2 linked regions of the Nothobranchius furzeri genome follow. The main gene of each other region encodes a partner of the protein of the gene in region 2 in a complex. Links are inferred from orthologs where the notes say so. Each region holds a gene or a part of one and is shown on either strand. Other genes may lie near its edges.

Region 1 (5,842 bases), on a different chromosome or scaffold from region 2:
CGTCACATCTTAAAGCCAGACGTGGTTAAAAAACACACACAATAATGACTGTTAAACGTAAAATGGACACCGCTTCTGCGTTACGCAAATAACGCCGATGAGTCCATGGACAACCTGCAGTTCGCTTCAAGTGTAATTAAACAAAAACTTACCAAATTATGTTCTTCTGTCGCCGGAAAATGCAAAAAAAAGTTTCTTTATTGAACCATTCAGTAAATTGTGGGATGAAATTACATCTGACTTTGGAGAAACGTTCTCAGCTCGACGCCAGAACCTTCTTTATCCCACAATGCATCGGGGGCAGAACAGGGTGGGCATTCATTGGGTTAAAATATTCCCTGAGTTTGCCTTACAGGCAGTCCTGAATTCCAGTCGGTTTGTTTCCAACAATAACAAATTCGATGTTGACTTCGATATGATTTATGCCATGAGTAAAATTAATATTTTAGTACGTTTTTATGCATATCATTAATTAATTATCCTTATGTTAATCTAAACTTGGATAAGAAATTTCAGAAGTATGCCTGAACGGTAAGTTTCAGGGCAAAATTTACCCAGTTATCAAAATCCGCCATTTTGCAATTTTGGGTGATACTTGTCTTTAACTTCTCGACGTTTTCACGATAGTTTATGGTTAACCAAATAAATAGTTCCCAGTCAGTTTACACAGGGTAGACAGCATACTTCGATGAGATACTATAAATACTACTTTATTTACTCTTAAACGCACATAAATGTACAGCTGTCGAGAGAGAGAGAGAGAGAGAGAGAGAGAGAGAGAGAGAGAGAGAGAGAGAGAGAGAGACCTGCCCCAAATGGAGGAGTTTAAGTGTATGGTCTTGTTCACGAGTGAGGGAAAACTGGAGTGTGAGATAGATAGGCAGATTGGTGCTGCATCTGCAGTGATGCGAGTGTTGTACCGGTCTGTCGTGGTGAAGAGAGAGCTGTCAGAAGGCAAAGCTCTCAATTTACCAGATGATCTACGTTCCTACCCTCACCTATGGTCATGAGTTTTGGGTAGTGACGGAAAGAACAAGATCGCGGATACAAGCGGTTGAAATGAGTTTTCTCCGCAAAGTGGCTGGGCTCTCCCTTAGAGATAGGGTGAGAAGCTTGGTCATCCGGGAGGGGCTCTGAGTATACCCGCTGCTCCTCCACATCGAGAGGAGCCAGTTGAGGTGGCTCGGGCATCTGGTCAAGATGCCTCCCTGCTGAGGTTTTCCGGGCACGTCCAACCGGGAGGAGACCTAAAGGTAGACCTAGAACACGTTGGAGGGACTATGTCTCACCTGGCCAGGAAACGCCTTGGGAATTCCCCCGGAGGAGCTGGCCGAATTGGCTGGGGGAGAGGGAAGTCTGGGCCTCTCGCCTTAGGCTACTGCCCCCGCGACCCGACTCCGGATGAAAATGGATAGATATATTCAATTATTTTTCTTAATATTGGTTCACATTAATGTAAGTGGACTTTTTCGATACACATAACCAATGCATCTAACTTATCTATGCAACAAACTATCTTTGATGTTTGTTTACTTGACAGATGTTTTAGTAGCTTTTGTTCACACTTAGCCATTGAATTAAATTTAAACACCAAATGGAGTACTTAAAATAAGATGAAAATCAAGTATTATCATCGTATAGCTTTTATTTCAGTATTTAAAGTCTGAAACCTTACCAAACAGGCAAATAAAGGAGACTAGACAATGTTAAACTTGGCACACATGAATGTTCCCTCTTTATGTCTCTGATTTAGTAATGGCATACTGTATATATACTGCTGACAATAGATTCACAACTTAGTCCCAGAATATCTTTTGAATACTTATGGAGATCAATTTTAAATCTAATGATGGTGTTTGTGCCACTAATACAGAATCTGTTTCATGTTTTTATATATATTTTACAAATGTGCCATGAGATAAAAACACAAAACTCAGTCACATAATATAAAAATGGTCCACATAATCCCCAAAACAGGACAGTGGAGTCCAGCACATTTAGTCCAAAATAATTCAGGGTAAAGGGTGGGGAAGTAGTTAGATATTAAGGATCCTCATGATGGAAGTCTAGGTCAAGGTTTCTCCTTTCGTCACCTGAAAAGAGATATAATTGCTTGATTAAATCACTCAAAACAATGCATCTAACTGTGATTCTTCTACTTACTCTTGCTTCTATATATTCGATCCTTCTTTCCAGTGCTGTCAACTTCTCGTTTAGAGTGGCCAGGCGGGACCGACAAGACATATCTGTTTGGGTTAAAATTTATTTTGAATGTTAGTTTGGTATATCAACGATACAACTGTAGGGAGCACTGATTGAAGATGAACTTCACTGGTAGCTATTGTGTTCCTAAAGATGTGGCAGAGCTTCGACACTTGAATTAATAAATATAATAAACTAAGCAAACGCAATTCTCCTTTGAAATATCATTACCCTTTAAAACAAAGCGATTAGCTCGGTGCTAATGTCCGAGCTAGCTGGGAGTGGCCATTTAAAAACATCAACATCAGTGTTAGCAGCAGCCCGACAGCTAGCTTCTCTAGCTAGCGCGACCTTCCAGCTCAAATATTTCTACAACACAGCGGTCGAATCCTTTGTAGCTTTTCCTAAAAGCTCACCGAACGAGTTGAGAAAGTCTGCGATTTTCTTGATGCTGCTTGTTATGACCTCTATGTACTCTCGATTCGCCCAGTCTTGGTGGATCTCCCTCTGAACGGGGTCTTCCTGGCCAGCCATGTTAGCAGTTTTGTCGTTGCAGAAGCTTTCATCCAGGAAGCGCCATCGGGCGTAAACTGGGCACGAGATTTAGCGAGATTCATAATTATCAATAAAATATTGCTTTTTATTTCGCTCGGTTCAAACACTGTATGTAAAAGTGAAGATTATTTTGTCAATTTTCAAATTTAGAATATAAAGAAAAACCCAGAAAATGAAATTTATACATATATATATATAGTTTTGACAGAAAAAATATTTAAAAAACATCTAAAAACAAAGACAAAAAATCTAGTTGAGAAAGTTAATCTATTAAAGTTATTTAACTATTTTATGCACATGTGCATACGCCACAGACTACACATTGTTGTCTATGATGCAAACACACATAAGGTTTTACGAACGTGTGGCTGAGGTGTCTCATGTGATAAGCCCAGGTTTGTTTTGGGACCAGTGAACCTCAATTGGCTCCTAAAGGTAGCACCTTGTGGCAGCGTTGTATAAATGTGAGAATAAGAAACATTAAAAATACCTTCTGAATCTAACAATCATAGGAGATGTTTTATTCTCCAGAAGTAATTTTCAATAATCTGTAGTTTTTATGGTTTGATGCATCATGTAAAGAAAAACCCTCAATGCAAATGCTTCTATTTAAATGCCAAAAAGTAAAATTGAAATGAGATAAAGATATAGTTGCCTACATTTGTCGGACACCAAAGAAAATCTAGGATTTATATGTGCGTTTTATAAATGTAATTTTAAAAAGTGTTTGATAAAAGATGTTTATTTCATTTTTTCAACTAATATTCCAATTGCAGTACAGTCAGGGGTAAATACAGACATTTACATCTTTATCAGAGTCTCCCTACACAAAAAGGTTTGCAGGAGCCTCATCATTAAGTAAATGGGTTGAAAAACCAAGTATATACCACTGAAAATTTCACAATATTTGGACTGTGGCAATTAATTCAACTGTGAGCAGGAAAGCAAGAAGAAATACCCGAAACGCCTGGGTCTACAGATAAGCATTACAAAGCCAGTGTGGTCACGACAGATATCTTTCACTGCCAGCAATAGTAATGTTGTAGCACATTTTACTTGATCCTCCTTTTCAGTAGCTCCTTAATATCTTCCTCAATATCTATGGTGAGGAAGTTTCTGCTGTAGCGCTTGAAAGGCTCCCCATCAGCTCCGATCAGGAATTTCTCAAAATTCCAGGATATGTCGGTCCTGCACACAGGACTCCAGATGATGAACTTTGGATCGGTCATGAGGGCCGTGGCATTGTCGCTGGGGGTTGGGAGCGTCTCCTTAAGGTACACAAACAAGGGATGAGCAGCTTTTCCATTGACGTCTACCTTCTCCAGGAGCTGGAACTTGGGTTCAAAGCCATTCCCTGGGCGGACATACTTTAGGGATCTCAGGATCTCATCATTTTTGGCATTCTCCTATTGTGCAAATCGAAATATTTAAATACATTAAAGTAGCATGAATTTAAATGTGGAAGCACCTTTGATTCTAAACCACTCTACTAATTCACTTTCCTTAACCCTTCTACAAGTAACAAAAACAAGTACTGTGCATTATTTGTTTCTCCGTATATCTACTGGAACTTACCTGGTGCCCAAACTGATTGCAGGGCACACCCAGGATAACGAGTCCCTCTGCGGAATAGCGAGAATGAAGCTCGTTCATCTGAGTGTAATCCCTGATTGTTGTTCCTCAGAGAGATGCCACGTTCTCAATGAGAACGACTTTCCCTTTAAGTGTGGAGAAATTAAAAGCTTCACCAGTCAGCAGATTAGCTGTAAGGTTGTAAAACTTTTTCAAGTTTTGGGCCATGTTTGCGATATCTTGTAAATCGCACGAAGGTGTGTACGCGCGCTCTTCCTGTTAACAAGTTGGCTTAAAGTCCAACCTTCGCCTAGAAGTGCTCCCACCCACTCAAGACTACGCTACTGGGTCTGCTCTGTTTATACACCGGCACACACAGCGGGGGCACAGCTGATTGGCCTTGGATTGGAGTTTAACCGGACGACGCACCGGTAAAGCTACAAGGAACGAAACATAAAAAAGTCATCGTTTTATGTCATTTCGTCCAAAACATCAAGACTAAAAGAATAATCAATGTGATCCTAGAATTCCAAAATCACTGTTCTTCTGATAGCGAGAAATACACAAGCAGTAAATTGTAATTAATTTTTCCCTAACTTTACCGCCATTTTGGGTTATTCTTAATTTGGCATGCCTCCATCAACCAACAGCCACACACACACACAGACAAAACCTTAAACATTTTAAATAATTATTGGTTTAAACACTACCTAACACAATACATTAATAAACGTATATATTGATAAATGTATTCATACAAATAACCAATTTACCATTTAGTATATATTTATTTCACTATTGCCATTCTGATACTCACCCCTATCTTGGTAAAAGTGGTACATTCCAGGAAGTTCTGTGTGAGCTGGTGTTTTGCCCTTAGAGGAAAACTAACCTAGCCTAGTGTACTAGACCAAATTCTTTCTTTGCAAAGTTTGGTCTAGGCACGCTCCATTGGAACCACCACAATAATAAATTTATTTAGTCTGGCTTGCCAGGCTAAAACTGACCATTTTTAATCACGCGCAGGCTTTGTAAATAAGGAGCAAAACGCATTTTAGACACGTTGCTTCCTGTAGGAAATGACAGTGTTCAAGGGCGTCAGTTTGTTTTCAGAATTGCTGGGGACAATAACCATACACTTGAGTGGGGTTTAAAAATTGCTGGGGACAATAAAGTAGGCTAGCACAGGGGTCGGCAACCCGTGGCTCTGGAGCCGCATGCGGCTCTTCCATCCATCTGATGCGGCTCTCTGTGCTTGTAAAATAATGAGTGGATATTTAAATAAAAAGCTTTATATTTTACTGCATTAATTTTACATCTGTATGTCAATTCTAAATGTTAAGATTGTCTGCGTAAACCTGAACAGTTCCAACCCGGTCTTACTGTGAGACCGGGTTGACGCGTCACGCTTGTGCGTAATCATAGCCGCTTCCTGAGCTGACGAGGATGTGAGATTCTGGGCTTCTCCTCAGACGGCTCCTGGATGTGTCGCCACATTGGAGACAGGAACAAG
Region 2 (6,491 bases):
AAACCTAAAATTCCTATCTCAATAAATTAGCATATTTCATCCGACCAATAAGAGAAAAGTGTTTTTAACACAAAAAAGTCAACCTTCAAATAATTATGTTCAGTTATGCACTCAGTACTTGGTCGGGAATCCTTTTGCAGAAATGACTGCTTCAATGTGGCGTGGCATGGAGGCAATCAGCCTGTGGCACTGCTGAGGTGTTATGGAGGCCCAGGATGCTTCGATAGCGGCCTTAAGCTTATCCAGAGTGTTGGGTCTTGCGTCTCTCAACTTTCTCTCCACAATATCCCACAGGTTCTCTATGGGGTTCAGGACAGGAGAGTTGGCAGGCCAATTGAGCACAGTAATACTATGGTCAGTAAACCATTTAGCAGTGGTTTTGGCACTGTGAGCCAGGTCGTGCTGAAAAATGAAATCTTCATCTCCATAAAACTTTTCAGCAGATGGAAGCATGAAGTGCTCCAAAATCTCCTGATAGCTAGCTGCATTGACACTGCCCTTAGTAAAACACAGTGGACCAACACCAGCAGCTGACATGACACCCCAGACCATCACTGACTGTGGGTACTTGACACTGGACTTCAGGCATGTTGGCATTTCCCTCTGCCCAGTCTTCCTCCAGACTCTGGCACCTTGATTTCTGAATGACATGCAAAATTTGCTTTCATCCGAAAAAAGTACTTTGGACCACTGAGCAACAGTCCAGTGCTGCTTCTCTGTAGCCAAGGTCAGGTGCTTCTGCCGCTGTTTCTGGTTCAAAAGCGGCTTGACCTGGGGAATGCGGCACCTGTAGCCCATTTCCTGCACACGCCTGTACACGGAGGCTCTGGATGGTTCTACTCCAGACTCAGTCCACTGCTTCCGCAGGTCCCCCAAGGTCTGGAATCGGCCCTTCTCCACAATCTCCCTCAGGGTCCGGTCACCTCTTTTCGTTTTCTGCCACACTTTTTCCTTCCCACAGACTTCCCACTGAGGTGCCTTGATACAGCACTCTGGGAACAGCCTATTCGTTCAGAAATGTCTTTCTGTGTCTTACCCTCTTGCTTGAGGGTGTCAATGATGGCCTTCTGGACAGCAGTCAGGTCGGCAGTCTTACTCATGATTGCGGGCTGGGTGTTTTTAAAAGCCTCAGGAATCTTTTGCAGGTGTTTAGAGTTAATTAGTTGATTCAGATGATTAGGTTAATAGCTTGTTTAGAGAACATTTTCATGATATGCTAATTTTTTGAGATAGGAATTTTAGGTTTTCATGAGCTGTATGCCAAAATAATCAATATTAGAAACAATAAAAGGCTTGAACTACTTCAGCTGTGTGTAATGAATCTAATATATATGTAAGTCTAATGTTTATCAGTACATTACAGACAATAATGAACTTTATCACAATATGCTAATTTTTTGTGAAAGACCTGTATATATAGAAATTAATCAAATCTTCAAATTTAATCCCAAAAAGTGGGAGATTTCAGACATTTCCAATATAAAAGATCAAAAGAATTTTATCATCTAAAAATAGCCCCTTTCACAACCAACTGAATGCAGAACTGCCAACCTTGTCAAAATTTTTTGAGTACCACCTGTGCGGCATTTTTTTCGCGCACTTTTGCAACTCCATTGCTTTTCACGCTGTAATCTCCCCATTCACCGGATGGAAAATTTTTCACACACACACACACACTCACACTTTACCTTACGAGAACAGCAGCGAGTGGCGAACCGGAGGGAGAGAGGAGCAGGACGAAGCAGAGAGGAGGGTGCGGGGGTGTTACGCTAGGTTAGGCAGGACAGTTTTTCTCTGCTTTTCTACGATGATTGGTTTAAACTTCTTCACCGCGCCGCTGAGCCGTGTTTTTCAGACATGAGTACCACACATGCATATTTGCCACAGAACTCAACTCACGTGCTTTTTGCGTAGTTTAGAGGGGTGAGTCGTACCATGCGTAAAGGTTGGCCGAACGTGTAACGTTCCGCTTACGCCAACATCATACACAAAAGTGCTGAACACTAACTAGAAATTCACGAAAATTTTATAGAAATAAAAGAATCTTGTTTATTGGGTCTTTGGTAATTTAAGACCTTTGGAAACTGTATTTAAGGATTATTTGTCATTTTTAAGGATTTTTAATGCCTTAAATTTGGAAAAGCAAAATTAAAACTTTTTAAGGACCAGTGGATACCCTGAGCTCTATGTTTGTTAGCCATGACGATAGATTTAGCTCTGTTTATTGACAGCAAGTAGATAAACAACTGCGGTCAACGGGGACGTGCAGGCATCTTGCCCTCCAGCCAGGGGCGGGTGTGTGGGCATGTGATGTCATGCTGCAATGGGTCTATGGGCCTTAATATGTTGTCCTAAAAGTGAATGCCATCTTGCTCCTCTTACCACAATGGAGGTGAGATCCTCACTCTCAAAGCGACTGATGGCGTGGTCCAGAGACTTGTACATCGCTGCAGAGATCCTCTGAGTGATCAGACGGTTCAGGTCAATCGATCGACCCAGTAGCTGAAAAATCACCAAGATCAAACTGAAACTAAACACATTCACTGAAATTAAAATGTCCTAAAATCATGTCCCATCAGATGAGCAGCAGAGAGTTGTCATGTACCTGTACGTGTCTCTGTTTGAGCAGCGTCTCATAACGGTTCGACGGAGGATACGGGATGATGACGCCGTAGTTTTTACACTCTGCTCTGAAGCGCTTGTCTAGCAGGACGCTGTGAAGCACATTAAAATTGGATTCAGGAGAAAATGTTCATAAATATGGCTGCAACTCCTGACAGTAACTTCAAAACATATAAGGAGCAAGTGCATTCCTCTACCTTCCAGCCATTGCTTTGTAGTAGGCAAAAATCTGATCTGCCAACTTGTAAACAAACTGATCAAAGCAGAGGTTTACCTACAAACAGGAAAAACAGGATCAATTTTTGACTTCTGAACCAGTTTGAGAATCACAGAGGCATTCAGCCATACCTCGGCTTCAATTTCATCATACAGAAACTGTTTTTTGAACTTGGTGAGGGCGTAATAGCCGCTGTCGTTATACAAGTCTAGAGGGTACAGGACGTATCTGCAAGAACAACAGTAAAAATTAGGATCCTGCTGGTGCTTAAAAAAAAATACTTATCTGATTTAACTTACTCCATCATGGAAGGCTCTTTGGTCTCCAGGATGTGGTCGGTCAAGATCCAGGGCATGGACATCTCAATGGGGAACTGGATTCTGCGACCCATGGTTAGCTCCAGGAAGAACTCTCTAAACCACAGCTGGGACAGGTCACAGCACTGCTGCAGGGCCTCTGATCAGACAACAGACAGGAAGTGACCCACTTAAAAGTCAACAGATCATTAGAGCAGAAGTTTGCTGCCACGGTGATGTATTGCTCCTGACTGAAACTTGGCTAAATAAGTTGAGTACAAAACTAAACCTAGAGTTATGAGTTATACAAAACTTATACTGAAGTTATAAAAACTCACCACTGAAGTTGAGCAAGTGTGTGAAGAAGAAGGATTGCTTATGGAAGTCTTCTATGGCTACCACGATGGGTCCATCAAGGCTGCTGCGGAGAGTCTTCTTAGATCCACTTTTATCTGCGATCAGTGACTCCAGCATGGTGCGTACCATGTACAGCTAGAGGGGACAGGAAACCAACAAATGCATCAAAAAGACCAGATCTCTGTCTAGAAAGACCTTCAGAGTTTCAAGTTTCCTTTGGAGACGCCATAAAGATTGTTGGTCCAACTGCCCCTCTTCCACTAGCACACCGTAAGCTTGGTTCCAAGACTTTCCCACTTTTAACAGGAATTAGTAATTGCTGTTCTGAGATGCCTTCGTTATCCAAAATCCTAAATCCCCCTCAGGACAGAGTCAGAAAAACAATCCTAGAAAGCTCTGTAAGTATCTACGCTACTTCAACTAAATAATTCCTGATGGTGGGACGACGTTGGCTCAGGAGTTAAGTGCTCACCCTGTAATCGGAAGGTTACACAGGTTCGAGCCCCGCACAGCCTGTCGCTGTCTTTGTGTCCTTGGGCAAGACACTAAAGCCACCTCGCTGCTGGTGGTGGTCGGAGGGACCAGTGGGGCCTGTGTGCGGCAGACTCGCCTCTGTCAGTGCGCCCCAGAGCAGCTGTGGCTACAGTGTAGCTCATCCCCACCAGGGTGCAAATGTGTGTGTGAATGGGTGAATGACTGTGTTGTAAAGCGCCTTGGGGGGTTCCAGGACTCTAGAAGGTGCTGTGTCAAATACAGGCCATTTACCCAAAGGGAAAAACATCCATTTAAATCTCGTAAAAGTCCAGTTTTTTGTCTCCCAACACAAAAAGACAGAAACATCCAGAAAGACTTCCTGTCGTTCCTCCTAGGTCTTACCTGTGTGCTGGAGGGTCCCACGGCTCGTCGAGGCACCTTAATGTCAAAGCCGCCCTTCGGGTCCTTCTCCCCCCTCAGGCAGGGGTCATTTGGAGGCTCTCTTCCGCCTTCCCAATCACAGACAGTCTTCCGAATGGCCTGAAGAACACTGTTCAGAAAGGATAATACTTAATCCAGGAAATTCAGATGACAAATGAAGTAATTACACAACTGCTTCTGTTATTCTGCTACAGAAAGGAAACGCAATCGTTCTGATGCTACGAGTACCTAATGAGGACATTCTTCTTCTTGCGTACAGCCTGGCGTAGAGGCTCTCTGAGGGTCACCTGGGCAAAGTCCTGCAGAGCTGCATAGATTGTGTTCCTTATGGCCTGGTTAAACACCGACTCCATCCGACCCATCAGGACCTAAACACACAGAAAGAGCAGCTTTACAAATGCCTTGCTTGAGCTTTTATTAGAATTTCTTTTACATGCCAAGTTTCACGTTTGACCTGCAGCCCTTTGATCATGGCGATGACCTCCACCAGAGCAAACTTCTCCTCGCTGGTGTAGTTGTAGCGCGTGGCGCGCTCATACTCCTCCGCCGTTCCTGGGCAGTCTTTGTTGCAGAATTTATCCGTGGGATGAACCAGCTTCCAAGAGTACTGACAGTTGAAAGTAGATCATAACAAGAGCCATCAGCGGCAAAACCAATTACAATCTCCTCCACTCTGAGTTCCTCTTTCACTCACAACTTCCATGACGTGTGTGCTCCACTTGGACAGCAGCTGCAGACCCCTCAGAGACAGGTCGAACAGCTCCCGGTACTCATCGTCGGACTTCTGGCTGTCCAGGCCCGAGCCTGTCACCACCTCGTTGTTGCTGTAGCGCGCCAGCTCCGAGATGAAGCGGATGTGGTCGTCCCTGATCTGCACCATCTGCTCACACAGGTTGTACTGTGGCGAGATGCTGCTCTGGGTGCACGTCCACCTGTGCAAAGACGAGACAAAGATGGAGCAGACAGCACGGCGAGGAATCTTTTCTATTAGTTTTTCTACGCTTGTTGAGGGGTTTTATTCGAGAGTGGACCATATTGCTTTACCTAGACTTGTTTTCTTCGTAGTGAGCACTTGTTTCAATATAGCGAGATAACTCGATCTGCATGTCTCCAAATAAAGGCACAACCTGCAGCTAAAGAACAAAAACACATCTGGATACCTGCTGTACTCTTTAGTTGGATTAAACGAGTCCAAAACAAAAGTTTACTTTAAAGAATTTGTCAATCTTGCTCAGGTTGATCCGCTTCTTGGCGTCCAGTTTGTAGATATTACTCACATTCCCATCCATCAGGTACAATCCAAAGCCCATAACCTGTCAGACATTTGGAGGAACAGGCAAGAGGGGAATTAAAACAAAGGATCAGCCTGAGATCTGATTATTTTATATGAGCATTTGTACCTTAAGCAGCATGTGTTTCTCACTGGGCGTCAGATACATTTTGTTCTCATAATAGTCTACACAGATGTTGACGATGTCTGCCAAAAGCTCCTCGTAGCCCGGAATCACCTCCAGCTGTTGGTGCAGGCACTACAGGAGGAGAGACGGGACAAGCTGCACTAATTAAGGGTAGATATTAAGGGTCACTGTCTCTAGCTTACTAAGCTAACATTTTGTTTTAAGAACAGGTGTGTGTGTGTGCGCGCACTGATATGGTTTTGTGTCTACCAGTCCCTGTGAACCAGAGGGGCCCAAACCTTTCAAGTAAAGTGTTAATGTTGAGTTAAAATCTGTTGCTGGACTCAAAAATGTGAATATTTTTAATTTGAAGAGTAAAAAAAAAAAAAAAAAATTTTACTGTACGGATGCATGGGTATCCGATATAAATAAGTCATTTATGGTTGATAACTGATATTTGCCGACACACATAAATATTTATAGTGTTGGGAGTTATGGTGTTTAGTATAAAGGCTTTATTTTTTAGGTAACAGATTAAACAAATTAATTACTTTTTCCATTGTCGCAACGCCATTACTGTTATTTGGCATGTGAAAAAAATACATATTATATATATATATATATATATATATATATATATATATATATATATATATATATATATATATACACACACATACACACATA

The links.
Region 1: cyfip2 (region 2) and brk1 share a complex: the UniProt entries of both Homo sapiens proteins name them as parts of the WAVE1 complex. The link is inferred for Nothobranchius furzeri from reciprocal best matches to the Homo sapiens genes CYFIP2 and BRK1.

The regions. Positions count from the first base shown.
Region 1 is NC_091743.1:65,723,290-65,729,131, forward strand, and holds brk1 (probable protein BRICK1), read right to left. Parts: upstream 2,794-5,842; 5' UTR 2,737-2,793; coding exon 2,619-2,736; intron 2,247-2,618; coding exon 2,164-2,246; intron 2,094-2,163; coding exon 2,067-2,093; 3' UTR 1,628-2,066; downstream 1-1,627. UniProt on the Homo sapiens protein: Involved in regulation of actin and microtubule organization. Part of a WAVE complex that activates the Arp2/3 complex. As component of the WAVE1 complex, required for BDNF-NTRK2 endocytic trafficking and signaling from early endosomes.
Region 2 is NC_091742.1:50,721,743-50,728,233, forward strand, and holds part of cyfip2 (cytoplasmic FMR1-interacting protein 2), read right to left. Parts: intron 5,937-6,491; coding exon 5,808-5,936; intron 5,721-5,807; coding exon 5,616-5,720; intron 5,541-5,615; coding exon 5,452-5,540; intron 5,340-5,451; coding exon 5,102-5,339; intron 5,015-5,101; coding exon 4,862-5,014; intron 4,776-4,861; coding exon 4,636-4,775; intron 4,517-4,635; coding exon 4,369-4,516; intron 3,628-4,368; coding exon 3,474-3,627; intron 3,296-3,473; coding exon 3,139-3,295; intron 3,068-3,138; coding exon 2,971-3,067; intron 2,897-2,970; coding exon 2,820-2,896; intron 2,715-2,819; coding exon 2,606-2,714; intron 2,503-2,605; coding exon 2,383-2,502; intron 1-2,382. UniProt on the Homo sapiens protein: Involved in T-cell adhesion and p53/TP53-dependent induction of apoptosis. Does not bind RNA. As component of the WAVE1 complex, required for BDNF-NTRK2 endocytic trafficking and signaling from early endosomes.